4 linked regions of the Saccharomyces cerevisiae S288C genome follow. Each later gene encodes a partner of the first gene's protein in a complex. Each region holds a gene or a part of one and is shown in the gene's direction. Other genes may lie near its edges. The genes, in order: CTF18, DCC1, POL2 and RFC5.

The links.
Region 2: the proteins of CTF18 (region 1) and DCC1 are in contact, whole or in part, in a crystal structure (PDB 5MSM), measured with the Saccharomyces cerevisiae proteins. Residues at the interface, in NP_013795.1 of Saccharomyces cerevisiae: Asn723 (codon at 3,805), Gly725 (codon at 3,811), Phe726 (codon at 3,814), Ser727 (codon at 3,817), Asn728 (codon at 3,820), Ala729 (codon at 3,823), Val730 (codon at 3,826), Arg731 (codon at 3,829), Lys732 (codon at 3,832), Asn733 (codon at 3,835), Val734 (codon at 3,838), Thr735 (codon at 3,841), Trp736 (codon at 3,844), Asn737 (codon at 3,847), Asn738 (codon at 3,850), Leu739 (codon at 3,853); in NP_009913.2 of Saccharomyces cerevisiae: Lys16 (codon at 2,033), Phe39 (codon at 2,102), Lys40 (codon at 2,105), Ser41 (codon at 2,108), Asp43 (codon at 2,114), Lys44 (codon at 2,117), Asp45 (codon at 2,120), Lys46 (codon at 2,123), Ser47 (codon at 2,126), Glu48 (codon at 2,129), Val49 (codon at 2,132), Leu60 (codon at 2,165), Lys61 (codon at 2,168), Gln62 (codon at 2,171), Arg63 (codon at 2,174), Lys64 (codon at 2,177), His65 (codon at 2,180), Ser66 (codon at 2,183), Asn67 (codon at 2,186), Phe108 (codon at 2,309), Glu109 (codon at 2,312), Arg111 (codon at 2,318).
Region 3: the proteins of CTF18 (region 1) and POL2 are in contact, whole or in part, in a cryo-EM structure (PDB 6S2F), measured with the Saccharomyces cerevisiae proteins. Residues at the interface, in NP_013795.1 of Saccharomyces cerevisiae: Lys717 (codon at 3,787), Trp719 (codon at 3,793), Val720 (codon at 3,796), Lys721 (codon at 3,799), Gly725 (codon at 3,811), Phe726 (codon at 3,814), Ser727 (codon at 3,817), Asn728 (codon at 3,820), Ala729 (codon at 3,823), Val730 (codon at 3,826), Arg731 (codon at 3,829), Lys732 (codon at 3,832), Asn733 (codon at 3,835); in NP_014137.1 of Saccharomyces cerevisiae: Glu333 (codon at 2,845), Asp334 (codon at 2,848), Phe335 (codon at 2,851), Glu336 (codon at 2,854), Tyr337 (codon at 2,857), Thr338 (codon at 2,860), Asn450 (codon at 3,196), Ile452 (codon at 3,202), Gln468 (codon at 3,250), Glu472 (codon at 3,262), Val475 (codon at 3,271), Glu1038 (codon at 4,960), Asp1039 (codon at 4,963), Glu1040 (codon at 4,966).
Region 4: the proteins of CTF18 (region 1) and RFC5 are in contact, whole or in part, in a cryo-EM structure (PDB 8TW7), measured with the Saccharomyces cerevisiae proteins. Residues at the interface, in NP_013795.1 of Saccharomyces cerevisiae: Asp433 (codon at 2,935), Leu436 (codon at 2,944), Phe440 (codon at 2,956), Pro444 (codon at 2,968), Tyr445 (codon at 2,971), Tyr448 (codon at 2,980), Asp450 (codon at 2,986), Gly452 (codon at 2,992), Ile453 (codon at 2,995), Arg454 (codon at 2,998), Pro456 (codon at 3,004), Ala457 (codon at 3,007), Ser460 (codon at 3,016), Asp461 (codon at 3,019), Leu463 (codon at 3,025), Phe464 (codon at 3,028), Asp467 (codon at 3,037), Gln471 (codon at 3,049), Ser509 (codon at 3,163), Glu510 (codon at 3,166), Gln513 (codon at 3,175), Leu516 (codon at 3,184), Asn520 (codon at 3,196), Ser521 (codon at 3,199), Val524 (codon at 3,208), Ser532 (codon at 3,232), Val533 (codon at 3,235), Pro536 (codon at 3,244), Leu537 (codon at 3,247), Met538 (codon at 3,250); in NP_009644.3 of Saccharomyces cerevisiae: Trp4 (codon at 1,897), Asp6 (codon at 1,903), Lys7 (codon at 1,906), Arg9 (codon at 1,912), Lys11 (codon at 1,918), Lys50 (codon at 2,035), Met54 (codon at 2,047), Tyr66 (codon at 2,083), Leu68 (codon at 2,089), Ile70 (codon at 2,095), Glu95 (codon at 2,170), Asn141 (codon at 2,308), Glu209 (codon at 2,512), Leu235 (codon at 2,590), Met236 (codon at 2,593), Glu238 (codon at 2,599), Ser239 (codon at 2,602), Leu242 (codon at 2,611), Glu245 (codon at 2,620), Leu246 (codon at 2,623), Ile255 (codon at 2,650), Lys256 (codon at 2,653), Pro257 (codon at 2,656), Asp258 (codon at 2,659), Trp259 (codon at 2,662), Val262 (codon at 2,671), Val276 (codon at 2,713), Leu279 (codon at 2,722), Ile280 (codon at 2,725), Tyr287 (codon at 2,746).

What each region holds. Positions count from the first base shown.
Region 1 is NC_001145.3:422,003-426,366, reverse strand, and holds CTF18 (Ctf18p), read left to right. Parts: upstream 1-1,638; coding exon 1,639-3,864; downstream 3,865-4,364. Other genes in the region: phosphatidylinositol/phosphatidylcholine transfer protein SEC14, read right to left, coding at 308-1,213, 1,370-1,378; ESCRT-III subunit protein VPS20, read left to right, coding at 4,218-4,364. UniProt on the Saccharomyces cerevisiae protein: Essential for the fidelity of chromosome transmission. Required for the DNA replication block checkpoint.
Region 2 is NC_001135.5:94,075-97,750, reverse strand, and holds DCC1 (Dcc1p), read left to right. Parts: upstream 1-1,987; coding exon 1,988-3,130; downstream 3,131-3,676. Other genes in the region: BUD3 (Bud3p), read right to left, coding at 1-1,470; NFS1 (cysteine desulfurase), read left to right, coding at 3,481-3,676. UniProt on the Saccharomyces cerevisiae protein: Component of the RFC-like complex CTF18-RFC which is required for efficient establishment of chromosome cohesion during S-phase and may load or unload POL30/PCNA.
Region 3 is NC_001146.8:146,364-154,225, forward strand, and holds the start of POL2 (DNA polymerase epsilon catalytic subunit), read left to right. Parts: upstream 1-1,848; coding exon 1,849-7,862. Other genes in the region: PDR17 (phosphatidylinositol transporter), read right to left, coding at 1-252; protein transporter YIF1, read right to left, coding at 533-1,477. UniProt on the Saccharomyces cerevisiae protein: Catalytic component of the DNA polymerase epsilon complex which participates in chromosomal DNA replication.
Region 4 is NC_001134.8:421,878-425,392, forward strand, and holds RFC5 (replication factor C subunit 5), read left to right. Parts: upstream 1-1,887; coding exon 1,888-2,952; downstream 2,953-3,515. Other genes in the region: IST2 (Ist2p), read right to left, coding at 1-1,164; POL30 (proliferating cell nuclear antigen), read right to left, coding at 3,113-3,515. UniProt on the Saccharomyces cerevisiae protein: Component of ATP-dependent clamp loader (RFC and RFC-like) complexes for DNA clamps, such as the POL30/PCNA homotrimer and the checkpoint clamp DDC1:MEC3:RAD17 complex.

The sequences.
Region 1 (4,364 bases):
ATACGTGCATATGTATTCTATAAGATAAATGTATATAACTGCCAACAAAATAAACTAAAATCAAGGTATGGCTGTAGAAAATGATACCACAGATAATAAAATAATAAATAATCTAATAGCTGAGTGGAAGAAAAAAAAAAAATAAAAAAAGAGTAGTACAAACTAAGGAGATAAAAGTGTGAACTATGCCTATTCAAAAAAGTAGAATAGAGTAAATAAGCATACTTGTACTTATCTCAGTTGTAAAATATCGTTACTTAGAACTCCTCTTTTCTCTCTCGAAAAAAAAATGTCTTTAAAAATAATATCATTTCATCGAAAAGGCTTCCGGAGCTTCACCTTCCGGTCCAATATACTTTGGATCCCTCCATGGACCGATATCGGATAGGTATAACCCACCCTTGGATTCATCAACTTCAGACTTACCGCCAAATTTGACTGGTAAGTTTTCAGCTGGAATTTGCTTTAATAATTCCTTCTGGTAAGAAGAACCCAAGATAAAAATCTTTGAAACAGTGACTGGATCCAAGAAAGGTTTAAATAGCCTAAATGCGGTAGAGAAACCGAATGGCGCGTTGATGATGTAAAATTTACCCATACGTTCGGGGTAATAGTTTTGACTTATGTAGGAGGCTTCCCTAACATATGACATAACACTGTATGCACTAGATATGGAGATACCTTTCAAATCCATAATTGTACATGAAGTTTCCACTAGGTGACCAGCAGCTCTTGAACAGGCAGGTAATCTGTATTGAACGACAGATTCGTATTCCCAAACCAAGTTTTTCAACATCCTCTCTTCAGAGGTAACCTTGTTCATTTCATGTAAGTTAACAGCACCTAATTCTTCAAAATATACTGGGCGGCCATCTTTATCGGTTTTATGATAATATTGTGGGTAGAATTTGGCAATCAATGGTTTTTCATCATAATGAAAATCTTGCAAGATAGTGTCGGTACCATAATCCTTCCTCCATTTTTCGCAGTTTTCAAACATTTCTTTAGCCAATTGAACATCAAATTTTCTGGCTCTCAAAAAACGTAGTAAAGTTGAATCGTCTAAACGTTCAATGAAACCAGCGTCTTCCAAAAGTTTTCTTAGTTCTGCCAATGCCTTCTCTTGAGCGCTGTCTAAATTTCCTGGAGTACCAGGCAAGGCATCTGGAGGACAGTTTTGAGGGTAGGATTCTAAAAATTCCTTTTCTTGTTGCTATTTAAAGTGAAGTCATAGTAATACCACTTGTGTTTGTTAGTAAACTTATTGATATATCATTTTTGCTTCATATAGACAGAACTATCTGAAGAATGTGAATATTGTCACAATGAATGTCAAAAAAAGAAAAAGTAAATAAAAGCAACAACATACTGTAACCATTGTGTTTTAGGGCGATGAAGGTTTGGTTTGATGCTACAGGCGCTGGTCAAGCGATATACCAGGAAAGGACACTTAAGACACAAACAAAGGAAGATGTACCATTTTATTGTTGATCAACGTTGAAAAAAAAAATGTGGAAAAAACGAACTAGCCAGTCGCGTTGTACGGAACATCTAACACGTAAATAAACATGATTTCATATATTTTATTCCTAATGTGTACACTATTTGACCCAAAAGGTGGATGTAAGGTCAGGGATCATGGTTGATACCGCACCATACATTGGTTCACTAGGGAGAAGTTCCCTTTTTGATACTGGTGATATAGAACAAGCCCCTGGTAATAATGCAATTGGTATTAATGAGGAAGATATTCACGCGTTTGTATCAAGTACTGGCGAAACGGTTCAATTAAAGAAGAAGCCTGCGAAGTTAGCAACCGGGAATATTAGTCTATACACTAACCCAGATACTGTTTGGAGATCAGACGACACGTACGGCATCAATATAAACTATTTGTTAGACAAAATTGAGGCATCTGGCGATGACCGCACTAACGCACAAAAGACTTCACCTATAACTGGCAAGATAGGTAGCGACACACTCTGGGTAGAGAAATGGCGTCCTAAAAAATTTCTAGATTTGGTTGGTAATGAAAAGACAAACAGGAGAATGTTAGGTTGGTTGAGACAATGGACGCCGGCTGTGTTTAAAGAGCAATTACCCAAATTGCCAACCGAAAAAGAGGTCAGTGATATGGAACTCGATCCATTGAAAAGGCCACCAAAGAAAATTTTACTACTGCACGGGCCACCAGGAATAGGCAAAACCTCAGTAGCTCACGTTATTGCCAAACAATCAGGGTTTTCTGTCTCAGAAATCAATGCAAGTGATGAAAGGGCTGGACCTATGGTAAAAGAGAAAATATATAATCTTTTATTCAATCATACTTTCGATACAAATCCTGTGTGCTTAGTGGCGGATGAGATTGATGGAAGTATTGAGAGTGGATTTATTAGAATTTTAGTTGACATTATGCAAAGCGATATTAAAGCCACTAATAAACTATTATACGGTCAACCAGATAAAAAGGACAAAAAGCGCAAAAAGAAAAGGTCTAAATTGCTTACGCGACCTATTATTTGTATTTGCAATAATCTATATGCTCCTTCTTTGGAAAAGCTGAAACCATTCTGTGAAATTATTGCTGTGAAAAGACCTTCCGATACTACCCTACTAGAGCGATTGAACCTTATCTGCCATAAAGAAAACATGAATATTCCTATAAAAGCAATCAATGACTTAATTGATTTGGCTCAAGGTGACGTAAGGAATTGTATAAACAATTTACAATTCTTGGCCTCGAATGTTGATTCAAGAGATTCCTCTGCATCAGATAAACCTGCTTGTGCAAAAAATACGTGGGCGTCATCCAACAAGGACTCCCCCATATCATGGTTTAAAATCGTGAACCAATTGTTTAGAAAGGATCCACATCGTGATATAAAGGAGCAGTTTTATGAATTGCTAAACCAAGTAGAGCTTAATGGTAACTCTGACAGGATATTGCAAGGCTGTTTTAATATATTTCCCTACGTAAAATATTCCGACAATGGTATAAGAAAGCCAGCAAACATTTCAGATTGGCTATTTTTCCATGATTTAATGTACCAATCAATGTATGCGCATAATGGCGAATTGTTACGTTACTCCGCCCTTGTGCCCCTAGTCTTCTTCCAAACGTTTGGCGATATCGCAAACAAAGATGATATTAGAATGAAGAATAGTGAATACGAACAACGTGAATTAAAACGAGCCAATTCAGATATAGTTAGTCTGATTATGAGACATATCTCGGTTCAGTCCCCACTAATGGCAAGTTTTACGGATAGAAAATCGTTAATCTTTGAAATACTACCATATCTAGATTCGATGATCTCTTCCGATTTTAATAAAATAAGGAACCTGAAACTCAAACAAGCCATCATGGAGGAATTAGTTCAATTGCTGAAAAGCTTTCAACTGAATCTAATCCAAAATCGGTCAGAAGGATTTGATGTAAGGGGTGGCCTAACAATCGATCCCCCAATCGATGAAGTCGTATTGTTAAATCCTAAACATATTAACGAAGTCCAACATAAACGGGCTAATAATTTGAGTTCACTGTTAGCAAAGATTGAGGAAAACCGGGCCAAGAAAAGGCATATAGACCAAGTGACTGAGGATAGACTACAGTCACAGGAAATGCATAGCAAAAAAGTCAAAACTGGGTTAAATTCTTCCTCAAGTACAATCGACTTTTTCAAGAATCAGTACGGATTATTGAAGCAAACTCAGGAATTGGAAGAGACACAAAAAACTATTGGATCAGACGAAACCAACCAAGCAGATGACTGCAATCAAACGGTTAAAATATGGGTGAAATACAATGAGGGGTTCTCTAACGCTGTCAGGAAAAATGTGACTTGGAATAACCTGTGGGAATAAATGACGTAAGATATATACGCAGTCTCTCTTAAGAAGCATACTTGTATATGGACCAGCAGCTTACATAGAAATCTAAAAGAAGTAAATAAAGAACATTAGCAATCAATCCTGCCGGTAGTCGCAACAGCTCCGATTTTGTCACGCAGCGTTCGTTTTTTATTCGTGATCTTTTACCCTCTTCGCTATCGTTCTTATTTCTACATAAATGGAACCCCGAAGAGCAGAAAGACCGAAAATCGAATTACTATCTGTGGGATACAATATAGCGCATAGAAAAGAACAAAACATAGATAGTTTGGAAAAATAGTACAGACTGCTGAATTAACTCCACTTGGTGCTTTTGTATATATCGAATGGGCCAAAAAAGTAGTAAAGTGCATATAACCAAAACAGATAGGGCGATCCTAGAAGTAAAACGATCTAAAGATGAAATTCATAAGTTTACGAGGAGGACAGATAATTTGATTTTGGTAGAGAAGAGTCAACTAAAAGACCTAATA
Region 2 (3,676 bases), on another chromosome or scaffold:
CACTACATCATACACACCGACTACCCTTCTCTTCAGCCATTTGTATTGCAGTTCTACGGGCCAGCATTTGGCTAATTCTGTAAGGATTTTTCCCGATGGAGTAAATACTCTGGTACTATAAGAATGAAGTGGGGAATCTAATTTTCCAAACGAATCAATGACATCAATGATATTGTTGTAGCATTTTTTTGCCATTTCTTGATTTTTCGGTCTCCATTTTTTCGACTTCCACAATCTCTCTATAATTAACTTTAGCTTCAGTAGTTTTTCCTGAGGTCCCTTAATTATACTCTCGATTTTCATTTCCGTGTAGACCTCTCTTTCTGGAATTACATTGCTGAAATGCCTAATAAACAATTTAATATCTTTGCTGAAGTTCTTTGTGGCCGCCTCGTGTCTTGTATATGCTTTGTAGAAATAAGGAATAGTAATGCTGCATGCCTTCAGTACTTCGAGGGAACCGTAAGGGATTGCTGTCTTTAGCGAGTCTAGAAAAATACAATTGATTCTTGTGACTTCATCTATTGTAGGTGGGAAGAGTCGATTTAATTTGGTTGTGGATAACCCATTAATTTCTTCATTGAGTACTCTGACTCTCAAGGCGATCAGGAATTTTTGCAAAAATTCTACCAAATTGAAAGTAAAATTTGTTTGTAGTTGTAATAACTCGTTGCAAATGGCCTTGACAAGATCATCATCCGATTCTGTGGGTAATTCGTCCTCTGGCGCCTTATAACCATATTCTGTCTGTTCCGGTGAGTATTCTGTGACTGGGTTAAAAAGTTGTTCAAGTTGTTCACCCAGATGGAATACCAACCTATTATTTAGTTCGATGGTGGATTCATTGTTTTCATAAATAACATCTAACAGGGTAGAGCTGACAAATCTATTTTGCAGAAGTCCTGATGTAAAGAAGCGCTTCCCCAGATCTTCTGGAGGAACTGCTGTTATCAACTGGCAACTACTAGCCAAATCTCCAGCATAAGGGGGGTCATAGTCGCAATTTTCCGATTTATTGGACAATATTTGTGATAAGTCTGATGGTGAAAGTAATGGATAGCGCTGTAACAGAATGACAGCAATGCATTTCTTAACATTGCTTTCCTGATCACTTGGACTCAAATTCTCAATGGCCGGATAGTATTGCGAGTTGGAAGATATATCGACGGATTCGAAGCATGATGTTCCTAATTTGTCGAATATTATAGCGTTCAACTTATTGCTGTTGGGGGACTTGTACACGCAGACAAAGAACTTCCCCCATATCAAGTCATCTGACCCGTGATAGAATACTGATTGAGTGAACACATTATCCGTCCAGTCTGAAAGTGATTTATCATCATCAAACAATGAATGACCATTTAGCGGTGTGGTCTCGACAACAGATTTGGATAGTTTGATGTTAAATAAGGTTTCATCGTTCTCTTTGTCTTTCTTTTCAGAGTAAAGAGACGACAGGTCTTTCTCCATTGGTGAGGTGTAAATATACTCTTTTAGCAACCAGATAACAGCCCGAACACGTAATGAGTAGCAGGTAGCAGCAGTAGAATGCGAGTACAGACAAACTAGTGTTGTTTTTACTATCCGCAGTGAGAGAAATCTTCCTCATTGAAGATCAAAGCCTTTGTTTACCATTGTTTTTATTTACCTTTTTAGAATTGTTCGAACAAAACCCTAGGTCTTGGCAACTGGCAATCGCTCAACATGACCTAATTTATAGCTTAGGGTTCTTTTTTGTCAATTCTATGCGTATGACAAAGAGCACCACGATGGTGATCGAAATCTCTAGGAGTAGCATACCACAGCGATATTATTTAGTAGTAGGCGGTTTATTATCTTTGTCCCTTTATACTGTTGTGTTTCTTGCTTATTGCTTCAGTAGGCAGCGTATAGTATAACCAGAAAAAAGTGAAAAATAAACTAAAAAAGCACTATGAGATGAACGGTAAAAATCCACCAGAGATTTGCTCACTAATAATCCTGTACCATGTCCATCAACCTACATTCCGCACCCGAGTATGATCCATCTTATAAGCTGATCCAGTTGACACCAGAGTTACTGGATATAATACAGGATCCGGTTCAAAATCACCAGTTAAGGTTTAAGTCATTGGACAAAGACAAGTCTGAAGTTGTACTGTGTTCGCACGACAAGACTTGGGTGCTGAAGCAGCGCAAACATTCAAACACAGTTCTACTAATGAGAGAATTTGTTCCTGAACAACCTATTACTTTCGACGAAACGCTCTTGTTTGGACTGTCCAAGCCGTACATGGACGTCGTGGGATTCGCCAAGACTGAATCAGAATTTGAGACCAGAGAGACACATGGCGAATTGAACTTGAATTCAGTACCAATATACAACGGAGAACTGGATTTCTCCGACAAAATCATGAAGAGGTCATCTACAAAGGTTATCGGGACCCTGGAAGAACTACTTGAGAACTCACCATGTTCTGCGCTAGAAGGTATATCAAAATGGCATAAGATTGGTGGATCTGTGAAAGACGGTGTGTTGTGTATTCTTTCACAAGACTTCCTTTTCAAAGCACTGCATGTACTACTGATGAGCGCAATGGCAGAATCACTCGATCTACAGCATCTGAATGTTGAGGATACACATCACGCTGTGGGGAAGGACATTGAGGACGAGTTCAATCCATACACAAGAGAAATCATTGAAACAGTGCTGAATAAATTTGCTGTTCAAGAGCAAGAGGCTGAAAACAATACGTGGCGCTTGAGAATACCGTTTATAGCTCAGTGGTACGGGATTCAAGCGCTAAGGAAATATGTTTCTGGAATAAGCATGCCAATTGATGAGTTCCTCATCAAGTGGAAGTCCCTTTTCCCACCTTTCTTCCCATGTGACATTGACATTGACATGCTGCGAGGCTATCATTTCAAGCCTACCGATAAGACTGTCCAGTATATAGCGAAAAGCACACTACCAATGGACCCCAAAGAACGGTTTAAAGTCCTGTTTAGGCTACAGTCACAGTGGGACTTGGAGGATATCAAGCCTCTAATTGAAGAACTAAATTCAAGAGGTATGAAAATAGACAGTTTCATCATGAAGTATGCCCGCCGTAAAAGACTGGGCAAAAAGACCGTGGTCACGAGCAGGTAGCACACAAAACTGCCTTCGATGGGCAATGCGAATATATAGCGGAACCACTAAAGTAATAGTGGATGACGTGAATAGCAACAAATATCTATCATAGTAGCTTTATATATTTATATATATTACAATACTATTATGCACCCTATTACCCGCAATAGTTGATAGTGACCTACCAATTTTAGATACGGTCGCTGACAAATAGTAAGGCCATCGCCCAGGGATATATGATGACTATCTAAGTAACTCACTCAGAGTAAAGACCGACAGAGTTCATTAGTGTGTTATATTTTCTATTTCAGATACATCATTTTCATTAAAATATATCGCATACACGAAGGAACTGCTACAACTGGAAGATGTTGAAATCAACTGCTACAAGATCGATAACAAGATTATCTCAAGTTTACAACGTTCCAGCGGCCACATATAGGGCTTGTTTGGTAAGCAGGAGATTCTATTCCCCTCCTGCAGCAGGCGTGAAGTTAGACGACAACTTCTCTCTGGAAACGCATACCGATATTCAGGCTGCTGCAAAGGCACAGGCTAGTGCCC
Region 3 (7,862 bases), on another chromosome or scaffold:
ATCACTCAAGGGTCTGTCATTGGCATGTGTCCCATTGTCAAGGTCATTGAGATTTTCTGGTAATTTCAGATCATCATCTTGAAAATGTCGTAAGACAGCTCTATATTTTTCGTTTTGATCTTCGGAGATGGGTTCCAGTAGAGGTGCGTTACCATACTTGGCAGGAGGGTCCAAGAATATCTTATCACATGGAATAAGTTTCTCTTTAGGCACAGCAGGCGTATGGTCCCGTTTTCTTGAAAAAAGACCCATTTTTGTTCTTCTTCTTGTGCTTTCTTTGTGTGATTTTTCAGGGTCTTTTTTTTTAAACAATGATGTAAATTAAATCTATCTAAAAAGCGTGATTTTTCCCACGAATTTTAATCCCTCTATTGTTCTCTTTCCACTCCATATTGAGTGAAAGGAAAAATAAGAAAAGTAAATAGAAAATTTATGACGTAGGAATAAAAGTATATAAGTATTTAACAAATTGACCGTAGATAATAATAATGCGCATGAAATTAAATCCTCTCTTTGATCTCTTCAATCAAGATCAACCCATTAACCACATTAGAACATTTTGCCAAATGAAGCCATAGACGAATAGGAAGTAATTGCACTTCTTGACGGTCGATTTGCTGATGGAAACGTGTATATCATCGTCTTCAGCACCGGAGCGGCTTAGTAAATTGAACTTGACGGATCTTAGTAGGAATACGCCAAAGGCAATAAATAAGTAAAATTTTATCAAAATATTCAGGTTAAATGGCATGGTCACGTTGGTCAAAAGCTGGGCGAGAATCAATGGAACAAATTTGTAGCCGACATAGCACAACAGTTCGACCAAACTGAAGCTTGGAATCTTAGAATCGATCAAAAGATACAAGCCAAGCTTCAAAATCAACAAATCTAAACACACAAACGCCAGAGTAGAAGACAGTTTGTAGTACAAGTCTTCGGGGTTGAATGAACCCTTCAGACCTTGCTGCGTATTCCAGATGAGAATATAGGTAACTAGTCCCATAATAGGCATGTACATGTCTGGGGAGTTCACGTCATCCCTTGGTGGCAAAAAGTTGCCAGAGTCCATAATTCGTTGCCAGTTCTTGGTTCCGTTAAGAAAAGGAACTAGGATGAGTTTCAATTTATTGATGACATAACGGGTGCTGACTTGAAAATACGTTGAAATTTGTTGAGAGCCGGCAGCGTTTGCAGTGGCTTTATTGACCGTTTCTTGAAACTGGTTAAAGTTATCCTGACCAATAAAATTAGAAAATGCGCTCTGCCCTAGTTGGAATGCCATCGAACCACGAGGATCTTGGAATGGAAAACCACCGCCACTGCCATTTACGTTTGCATTCATATTCGCATTACCTTGGCCATTCACGGGCGTGTTCCTCGGAATTTGCATTGGTCGTTGCTGTTGTGGAGTGTGGGAAAAGCGATCGTTAACGCCATTCTGCTCACTTGTTGCATATGCGTACGGATTATAAGACATCTTGGTATGGGCCTTTGGTTTTCGTTTTCTGCTATTGATACTCAGTAGCGAGGTCTTACAATCGAAAAGTCAAAAAGATGAGTTGTAGTATAAAACAACAGCTCTGGTGTGCAATATGGATCTTGATACAGAGTCTCGGATATGCTGTTTTAGCACTGAGAAAAAGTAATAGTAACACTGTCAGTGTTCGTCAAAGGCCCAAGTTTATTGTCATTTGAATTGTCAGAATGGTTTATTTTCAGGTAGGGTAACCAGAACGCGTAAGTTTCTTGCATCTTTTACCATTTTAACTGGAAGAGGACCTATCAAAAAGAGCATATGATGATGAAAGAGCACATTCTATCAAGATAACACTCTCAGGGGACAAGTATATGATGTTTGGCAAGAAAAAAAACAACGGAGGATCTTCCACTGCAAGATATTCAGCTGGCAACAAGTACAACACACTCTCAAATAATTATGCGCTTAGCGCGCAACAGCTCTTAAATGCTAGTAAGATCGATGACATCGATTCGATGATGGGATTTGAAAGATACGTACCGCCGCAATACAATGGCAGGTTTGATGCGAAGGATATAGATCAGATTCCAGGCCGCGTAGGGTGGCTGACGAACATGCACGCAACGCTGGTCTCTCAGGAAACCTTATCCAGTGGTAGTAATGGCGGCGGCAATTCGAATGACGGAGAACGTGTAACGACCAACCAAGGTATTTCCGGAGTTGACTTCTACTTTTTAGATGAAGAGGGTGGGAGCTTCAAGTCGACAGTTGTCTATGACCCATACTTCTTTATTGCGTGTAACGATGAATCAAGAGTAAATGATGTGGAGGAACTAGTGAAAAAATATCTGGAATCTTGTCTCAAAAGCTTACAAATCATTAGAAAGGAAGATCTTACCATGGACAATCACCTTTTAGGGCTGCAGAAGACACTTATTAAGTTATCATTTGTAAATTCCAATCAGTTATTCGAGGCCAGGAAACTCCTGAGGCCAATCTTGCAGGATAATGCCAATAATAATGTGCAAAGAAATATATATAACGTTGCTGCAAATGGCTCGGAAAAAGTTGACGCCAAACATCTGATCGAAGATATCAGGGAATATGATGTGCCGTATCATGTCCGAGTATCTATAGACAAGGACATTAGAGTCGGTAAATGGTATAAGGTAACTCAACAGGGATTCATTGAAGATACTAGGAAAATTGCATTTGCCGACCCTGTGGTAATGGCATTTGATATAGAAACCACGAAGCCGCCTTTAAAATTCCCGGATTCCGCCGTAGATCAAATAATGATGATTTCGTATATGATCGATGGGGAAGGTTTTTTGATAACAAATAGGGAGATAATCTCTGAGGATATTGAAGACTTTGAGTATACACCGAAACCGGAGTATCCTGGTTTTTTCACCATATTTAACGAAAACGATGAAGTGGCGCTTCTACAAAGGTTTTTTGAACATATAAGAGATGTACGACCCACTGTTATATCCACCTTCAATGGTGACTTTTTCGATTGGCCTTTTATACATAACAGAAGTAAGATTCACGGCTTGGACATGTTCGATGAAATTGGTTTCGCTCCAGATGCTGAAGGTGAGTACAAGTCCTCATACTGCTCTCACATGGATTGTTTCCGTTGGGTGAAGCGTGATTCTTATTTACCACAAGGTTCCCAGGGTTTAAAAGCTGTTACTCAATCTAAGCTAGGTTATAACCCAATTGAACTGGATCCCGAATTAATGACGCCGTATGCATTTGAAAAGCCACAGCACCTTTCCGAATATTCTGTTTCCGATGCAGTCGCTACGTATTACCTTTACATGAAATATGTTCATCCTTTTATCTTTTCCCTTTGTACTATTATTCCTTTGAACCCGGATGAAACATTGAGAAAGGGTACCGGTACTTTGTGTGAAATGTTGTTGATGGTTCAAGCTTATCAACATAATATTCTTCTACCAAATAAGCATACAGATCCCATTGAGAGGTTCTATGATGGACATCTTCTAGAATCCGAGACTTACGTGGGTGGACATGTGGAGTCATTAGAAGCTGGTGTTTTTAGGAGTGATTTGAAGAATGAATTCAAGATAGATCCTTCTGCCATTGATGAATTATTACAAGAATTACCAGAAGCTTTGAAATTTAGTGTGGAAGTTGAAAATAAGTCCAGTGTAGATAAAGTAACGAATTTTGAGGAAATAAAAAACCAGATAACGCAGAAATTATTAGAGTTGAAGGAAAACAATATAAGAAACGAACTACCTTTGATCTATCATGTAGATGTCGCCTCTATGTACCCAAACATCATGACTACAAATAGACTACAACCAGATAGTATCAAAGCAGAGCGCGATTGTGCTAGTTGCGATTTTAATAGACCCGGAAAAACCTGTGCAAGAAAGTTAAAATGGGCTTGGAGAGGAGAATTCTTTCCCAGTAAGATGGATGAGTATAACATGATCAAGCGTGCATTACAAAATGAGACTTTTCCCAACAAAAACAAGTTTTCTAAAAAGAAAGTTTTGACATTTGATGAACTAAGTTACGCAGACCAAGTTATCCACATAAAAAAACGTTTAACTGAATATTCAAGGAAAGTTTATCATAGGGTTAAAGTATCAGAAATTGTCGAACGAGAAGCCATTGTCTGCCAAAGAGAAAATCCATTCTACGTCGATACCGTGAAATCCTTTCGTGATAGGCGTTACGAATTCAAAGGTTTAGCCAAGACTTGGAAGGGAAATCTGTCCAAAATTGACCCATCTGATAAGCATGCGAGAGACGAGGCCAAAAAGATGATTGTGCTTTATGACTCATTACAATTAGCTCACAAAGTTATTTTGAATTCGTTTTATGGGTATGTTATGAGGAAAGGCTCTCGTTGGTATTCCATGGAAATGGCGGGGATTACGTGTTTAACAGGTGCCACGATCATTCAAATGGCGAGAGCTTTAGTAGAAAGGGTAGGAAGACCATTAGAATTAGATACTGATGGTATTTGGTGTATCTTACCAAAATCTTTCCCTGAAACTTACTTTTTTACATTAGAAAATGGTAAAAAGCTTTATCTCTCCTACCCATGTTCCATGCTGAATTACAGAGTTCACCAAAAGTTTACGAATCACCAATACCAAGAATTAAAAGACCCATTGAACTATATATATGAGACGCACAGTGAAAACACGATTTTTTTCGAAGTTGACGGACCATATAAGGCCATGATTTTGCCTAGTTCCAAGGAAGAAGGAAAAGGTATAAAGAAAAGATATGCTGTCTTCAATGAAGACGGCTCACTTGCTGAACTGAAAGGTTTTGAATTGAAGAGGCGTGGTGAATTACAACTAATAAAAAATTTTCAAAGTGATATTTTCAAGGTCTTTTTGGAAGGTGATACATTAGAAGGATGTTACAGTGCTGTAGCAAGCGTATGTAACCGTTGGTTAGATGTTCTTGATTCACATGGTCTTATGTTAGAAGATGAAGACTTGGTCAGTTTGATTTGTGAAAATAGAAGTATGTCAAAAACTTTAAAGGAATATGAAGGGCAAAAATCTACTTCTATTACGACGGCAAGGAGATTGGGGGATTTTTTGGGTGAAGATATGGTAAAAGATAAAGGTCTACAATGTAAATATATTATTAGTTCAAAACCTTTCAATGCACCTGTTACTGAACGAGCCATTCCAGTCGCAATATTTTCAGCGGACATTCCCATCAAAAGGTCTTTTCTGAGGCGATGGACATTAGATCCATCTTTGGAAGATCTGGATATCAGAACCATAATCGATTGGGGTTATTATAGAGAAAGACTTGGATCTGCTATACAAAAGATAATTACTATTCCAGCAGCATTACAAGGGGTTTCCAATCCTGTTCCAAGGGTTGAACATCCAGATTGGCTAAAAAGAAAAATCGCTACAAAGGAGGATAAGTTTAAGCAGACTTCACTAACCAAATTTTTTTCGAAGACAAAGAATGTACCAACAATGGGCAAGATAAAAGATATCGAGGATTTGTTTGAACCAACTGTAGAAGAAGATAACGCCAAAATTAAAATTGCAAGAACTACTAAAAAGAAAGCCGTATCCAAGAGGAAAAGAAATCAGCTTACAAATGAAGAAGATCCACTAGTATTGCCCTCGGAGATTCCTTCCATGGACGAGGACTATGTTGGGTGGCTAAATTATCAAAAAATTAAATGGAAAATCCAAGCAAGAGATAGAAAGCGTCGAGACCAATTATTTGGTAATACAAACAGCTCCCGTGAAAGAAGTGCACTAGGAAGTATGATTAGGAAGCAAGCTGAATCATATGCGAACTCCACTTGGGAGGTCTTACAATACAAGGATTCCGGTGAGCCAGGGGTTTTGGAAGTATTTGTAACAATTAATGGCAAAGTCCAGAACATCACCTTCCATATACCAAAAACTATTTATATGAAATTCAAATCTCAAACAATGCCGCTACAAAAGATTAAGAATTGCCTTATTGAAAAATCTTCTGCATCGTTACCAAATAATCCCAAAACGTCTAATCCAGCAGGCGGTCAGCTATTCAAAATTACTCTACCGGAATCTGTCTTTCTGGAAGAAAAGGAAAACTGCACTAGTATCTTCAACGATGAAAATGTACTTGGTGTATTTGAGGGCACTATCACTCCTCATCAAAGAGCGATCATGGATTTGGGAGCTTCGGTAACGTTCCGCTCAAAAGCAATGGGTGCGTTAGGCAAGGGAATACAGCAGGGTTTTGAAATGAAGGATCTTTCAATGGCGGAAAATGAAAGGTATCTGAGTGGATTTTCAATGGACATTGGCTATTTACTACATTTCCCAACATCAATTGGGTATGAATTTTTTTCATTATTCAAGTCATGGGGAGATACTATTACTATATTAGTTTTGAAACCATCCAACCAGGCTCAGGAAATAAATGCCTCATCATTAGGACAAATATACAAACAAATGTTTGAAAAAAAGAAAGGTAAAATAGAAACATATTCTTACTTGGTTGATATTAAAGAAGATATCAATTTTGAGTTTGTATATTTTACAGATATCTCAAAATTGTACAGAAGACTATCACAGGAAACTACTAAATTAAAAGAAGAAAGAGGTCTGCAGTTTTTACTCTTGTTACAATCTCCGTTTATCACTAAGCTCTTAGGCACAATCCGGCTTCTAAACCAGATGCCCATTGTTAAGCTTTCCTTGAATGAAGTTCTTCTACCCCAATTGAACTGGCAACCGACATTATTGAAGAAACTTGTTAACCACGTTTTATCCAGTGGTTCGTGGATTTCTCACTTGATCAAGTTATCCCAGTATAGTAACATTCCAATCTGTAATTTGAGGCTGGATAGTATGGATTATATTATTGATGTTCTTTATGCAAGAAAACTAAAAAAAGAGAACATCGTGCTTTGGTGGAATGAGAAAGCTCCACTTCCAGATCATGGAGGCATTCAAAATGATTTTGATTTAAATACATCATGGATAATGAATGATTCAGAATTTCCCAAAATTAATAACTCAGGTGTGTATGACAATGTAGTTCTCGATGTTGGTGTTGATAATTTAACAGTGAACACAATTTTGACATCAGCATTAATCAATGATGCTGAAGGCAGTGATCTAGTTAACAATAATATGGGTATAGATGACAAAGATGCCGTTATTAACTCGCCATCTGAATTCGTGCACGACGCCTTTTCTAATGACGCTTTGAATGTTTTAAGAGGTATGTTAAAGGAGTGGTGGGATGAGGCCCTAAAAGAAAATTCAACCGCAGATTTGTTGGTAAATTCCCTGGCAAGTTGGGTTCAAAACCCGAATGCGAAACTATTCGACGGATTACTAAGATATCACGTTCATAACTTAACAAAAAAAGCCTTACTTCAATTAGTAAATGAATTTAGTGCACTTGGCTCAACTATTGTATATGCAGACAGGAATCAAATTCTAATAAAGACAAACAAGTACTCACCTGAAAACTGTTACGCCTACAGCCAATATATGATGAAGGCAGTTAGAACAAATCCAATGTTTAGTTATCTGGACTTAAATATCAAACGTTATTGGGATCTGCTAATATGGATGGATAAGTTTAATTTTAGTGGATTAGCATGTATTGAAATAGAGGAAAAGGAAAATCAGGATTATACCGCTGTTTCGCAATGGCAACTAAAGAAGTTTCTGTCACCAATATATCAGCCCGAATTTGAGGATTGGATGATGATCATATTGGATAGTATGCTAAAGACAAAGCAGAGCTATCTAAAATTGAATTCAGGGACGCAAAGACCTACCCAAATAGTTAATGTAAAAAAACAAGATAAGGAAGATAGTGTTGAAAACTCGTTGAACGGATTTTCTCA
Region 4 (3,515 bases), on another chromosome or scaffold:
AATGCTAACAAGGCTTGGAACAAAGTTTTCCATGCTAAATTGAATCAGTTGGTTGATAACAATAAAGTAGAAAAATTGATCTTCATAGCGCTTTGTATCAATAATAAAATCTGAATCATGGGTAGGTAAACGGGCCAATATTGAAAAGGCATTGAAAACCTTAGTTCTTATTTCTGCGGTCAACAAATGCCCCATTGGCAGATAAAGAAATAGTGTAATTAATAGGGGAACGTAACTGGATAGAAAAATAATAACAAAGTTCTTAGCTTCTTTAGATTTCTTTGCATTCACAACACTGCTATGATTTTCCCACTTTGTCATTGGTTCTACGAAATATTTGTTGTAAATCACAGTTAAAACCGGAGTAAACGTGCAAATAAGTATAGTAGGCAAAAAAGACAAGATGGAAATCATTGGGCCGTTATAAATTTGCTTGATGAAAATTTCCAACGCAAAACAATATAGCTGGAATGATAGTAATATTGCGCCAAACAACAAAGCCACAGGAATAAAACAACATTTCTTCAACATGATAACCGAACTAGCTTTTTTTTGGGCTTTCTGTTTATCTTGAAGAAACTCAATGGTAGAAAATGATGAGTATTTACTCAGTCTATCAGACCAAAATGGTTCATATTTATAAAGCCAAAAGGCTGTAAATGACAATGTCCATAGGATGGCGAACAGCGAGTATGTGGAATTGAATTCATACGTAAAATTAGATAAAAATCTAATTGATAATCCAAAAAAGGAGAAGGGAATCAACCATTTTATATAGTTCTGTAAGAATGCAAAATATAAGGATTGTTTGGGATTATTGGTCAAATTCGATAGGTTGTACAACTCATACTGTTTTGGAGCCTCCAGTATTTTTGATTTGCTGATAGAAATCAGTTTATGCAAATCATCGGACAATTCAGTATCATGATATGGTATGATGGATTCAATGAAGTCCAGATTCTGCAAAAATGAAAAAAGCGGTTTCGCATTATCCTGATGGATTCTAATAAACGCATAGCTTGTTTGCAGATCATGGCCAGGTTCGATAATAGAATGTATATTCAAACGTTTGAATTCGACATTCAAACTCTTCTCGTTTGCACTCGAAGTTTTATTGAATACAATAACACAATTCGGATCTAGAGATGTAATTGTCTGCGACATAGTATGCTCAACCGCTTGTGCTTGTTTTAATCTTTTTCAAATGTATTTGACAAATTAGCCATAAATCGACCGAAACAGTATTCACCTTCAAAAATGTTAATGATGGTGAGAACGGTTATTGGAGCGACTGTTCAAATATCTTTTCCAGCCCCCTATTTCCAGCTTCCCTTATAGAAATAATTGCAACGGGGAAAAAAGGGATATTTCTTAATGAAGTCAATAATAGCTGCAAAAAGAAAACTATTTTTCAGTTGAAAAATATGGAAAGTGCTTATTTATCAGAAAGCTTTTACAGTCTTTCACACTGATGTAGTGGTGGAATCTTTTTGTTTTGAAAACAACAGAGAAAAAAAAAAGATAAAAAAAAGTGCCCTTGTTTGTTTTCGTCCCTAGAAGGAAAAAAAAAGAGAAGTTTCTCGCAGAGTGAAAAAAAATGTCAAGAAAAGATCCTACAAGAACAAATTATGCGCAATAATATGCTTCGTGCTGTTTTAGGATCTTGGAGTCAGAAATAAAATAGTTTTGTAAATTTATGTAAGATGCTGTAGTCAAATTTATGTATCGAGTCTATGCATATGTACACCGTGTTGAGGAATCTTTTCTAGAAGCACTGCGGTGTCGCCTCTTGAATATTTTAACGCGATTTTTTATTCCTTGGAACATAAAATAGACTTTTCATTTGTATGATGGTTCATGGAAATTATAGATTAGTACAGCACAAACATGTCATTGTGGGTAGATAAATACAGACCTAAGTCCTTGAATGCTCTTTCACATAATGAAGAGTTGACAAATTTTCTAAAATCGTTATCTGATCAGCCTCGTGATTTACCTCATCTTTTACTGTATGGACCAAATGGTACAGGTAAGAAAACGCGTTGTATGGCATTATTGGAGTCCATATTTGGACCTGGAGTCTATAGATTGAAAATTGATGTCAGACAATTTGTCACTGCTTCGAACAGAAAACTAGAACTGAATGTGGTCAGCTCGCCATACCATTTAGAGATCACGCCAAGTGATATGGGTAACAATGATAGAATTGTCATCCAAGAACTATTGAAAGAAGTGGCTCAAATGGAACAAGTGGACTTTCAAGATTCTAAGGATGGACTTGCCCATAGATATAAGTGTGTTATTATCAACGAGGCGAACTCGTTAACAAAAGATGCTCAAGCTGCTTTAAGACGTACCATGGAAAAATACTCCAAAAACATTAGGTTGATAATGGTCTGCGATTCGATGTCGCCTATAATTGCTCCTATCAAATCCCGTTGTCTGTTGATTCGTTGTCCTGCACCAAGCGATAGCGAAATTTCAACTATCTTGTCTGATGTGGTGACAAATGAAAGAATACAACTAGAAACAAAGGATATTTTAAAAAGAATTGCTCAGGCATCGAATGGAAACTTGCGAGTCTCCCTATTAATGCTTGAATCTATGGCACTGAACAACGAATTAGCATTGAAAAGCAGTAGCCCTATAATAAAACCAGATTGGATTATAGTGATCCATAAATTAACGAGGAAAATCGTTAAAGAGAGATCTGTCAATTCTTTAATCGAATGCAGAGCTGTCCTATACGATTTACTAGCTCATTGTATACCTGCCAATATCATCTTAAAGGAACTAACGTTTTCTTTGTTGGATGTGGAAACCCTGAATACCACGAATAAATCGTCCATAATTGAATACTCAAGTGTTTTTGACGAAAGATTATCACTTGGAAACAAAGCAATATTCCATTTGGAAGGGTTCATAGCAAAAGTTATGTGCTGTCTAGATTAATGTAAGATATGTCATAAATACTGTATAAGTCACACAAAAAGCTGATATTTAACGCATCTTAGTCTTTATTTTCTTTGTTATTTATTTTCATTTAAAACAAACTTTACTGTTTTTTTTTTGTTTATTATTTTTAGTATACAACTATATAGATAATTTACATTTATTCTTCGTCATTAAATTTAGGAGCCAAGAAAAACTGTAGGAACCCACTCTTCAAATCAAATTGGAATAAAGCAGGAGCTTCGCTGGAGAGCCTGATACCAACTCTATCAGAAAGGGAGGAGCCCTTAATGATGTCCAATAAATATTTAGCTCCGAACGTCAAGTCGACAGGTTGATCCATTTCAAGTTTGATGCTTGTTTCAGGATGTTCCATATCCACGAATGGTTTTATTATGACTGAACCTGATCCGATATCACCGTCAGCTACAAACTTTATTGTTTCTTTGGTGATCATGATATTAATAGAATCACTCAATTGGGACAAGTCACGAACAATTTTAGAGAATTCGGAAGATGGCAATGACAGGGTGGAGTCGTACTGTAATTCTTCAATCTTTAAG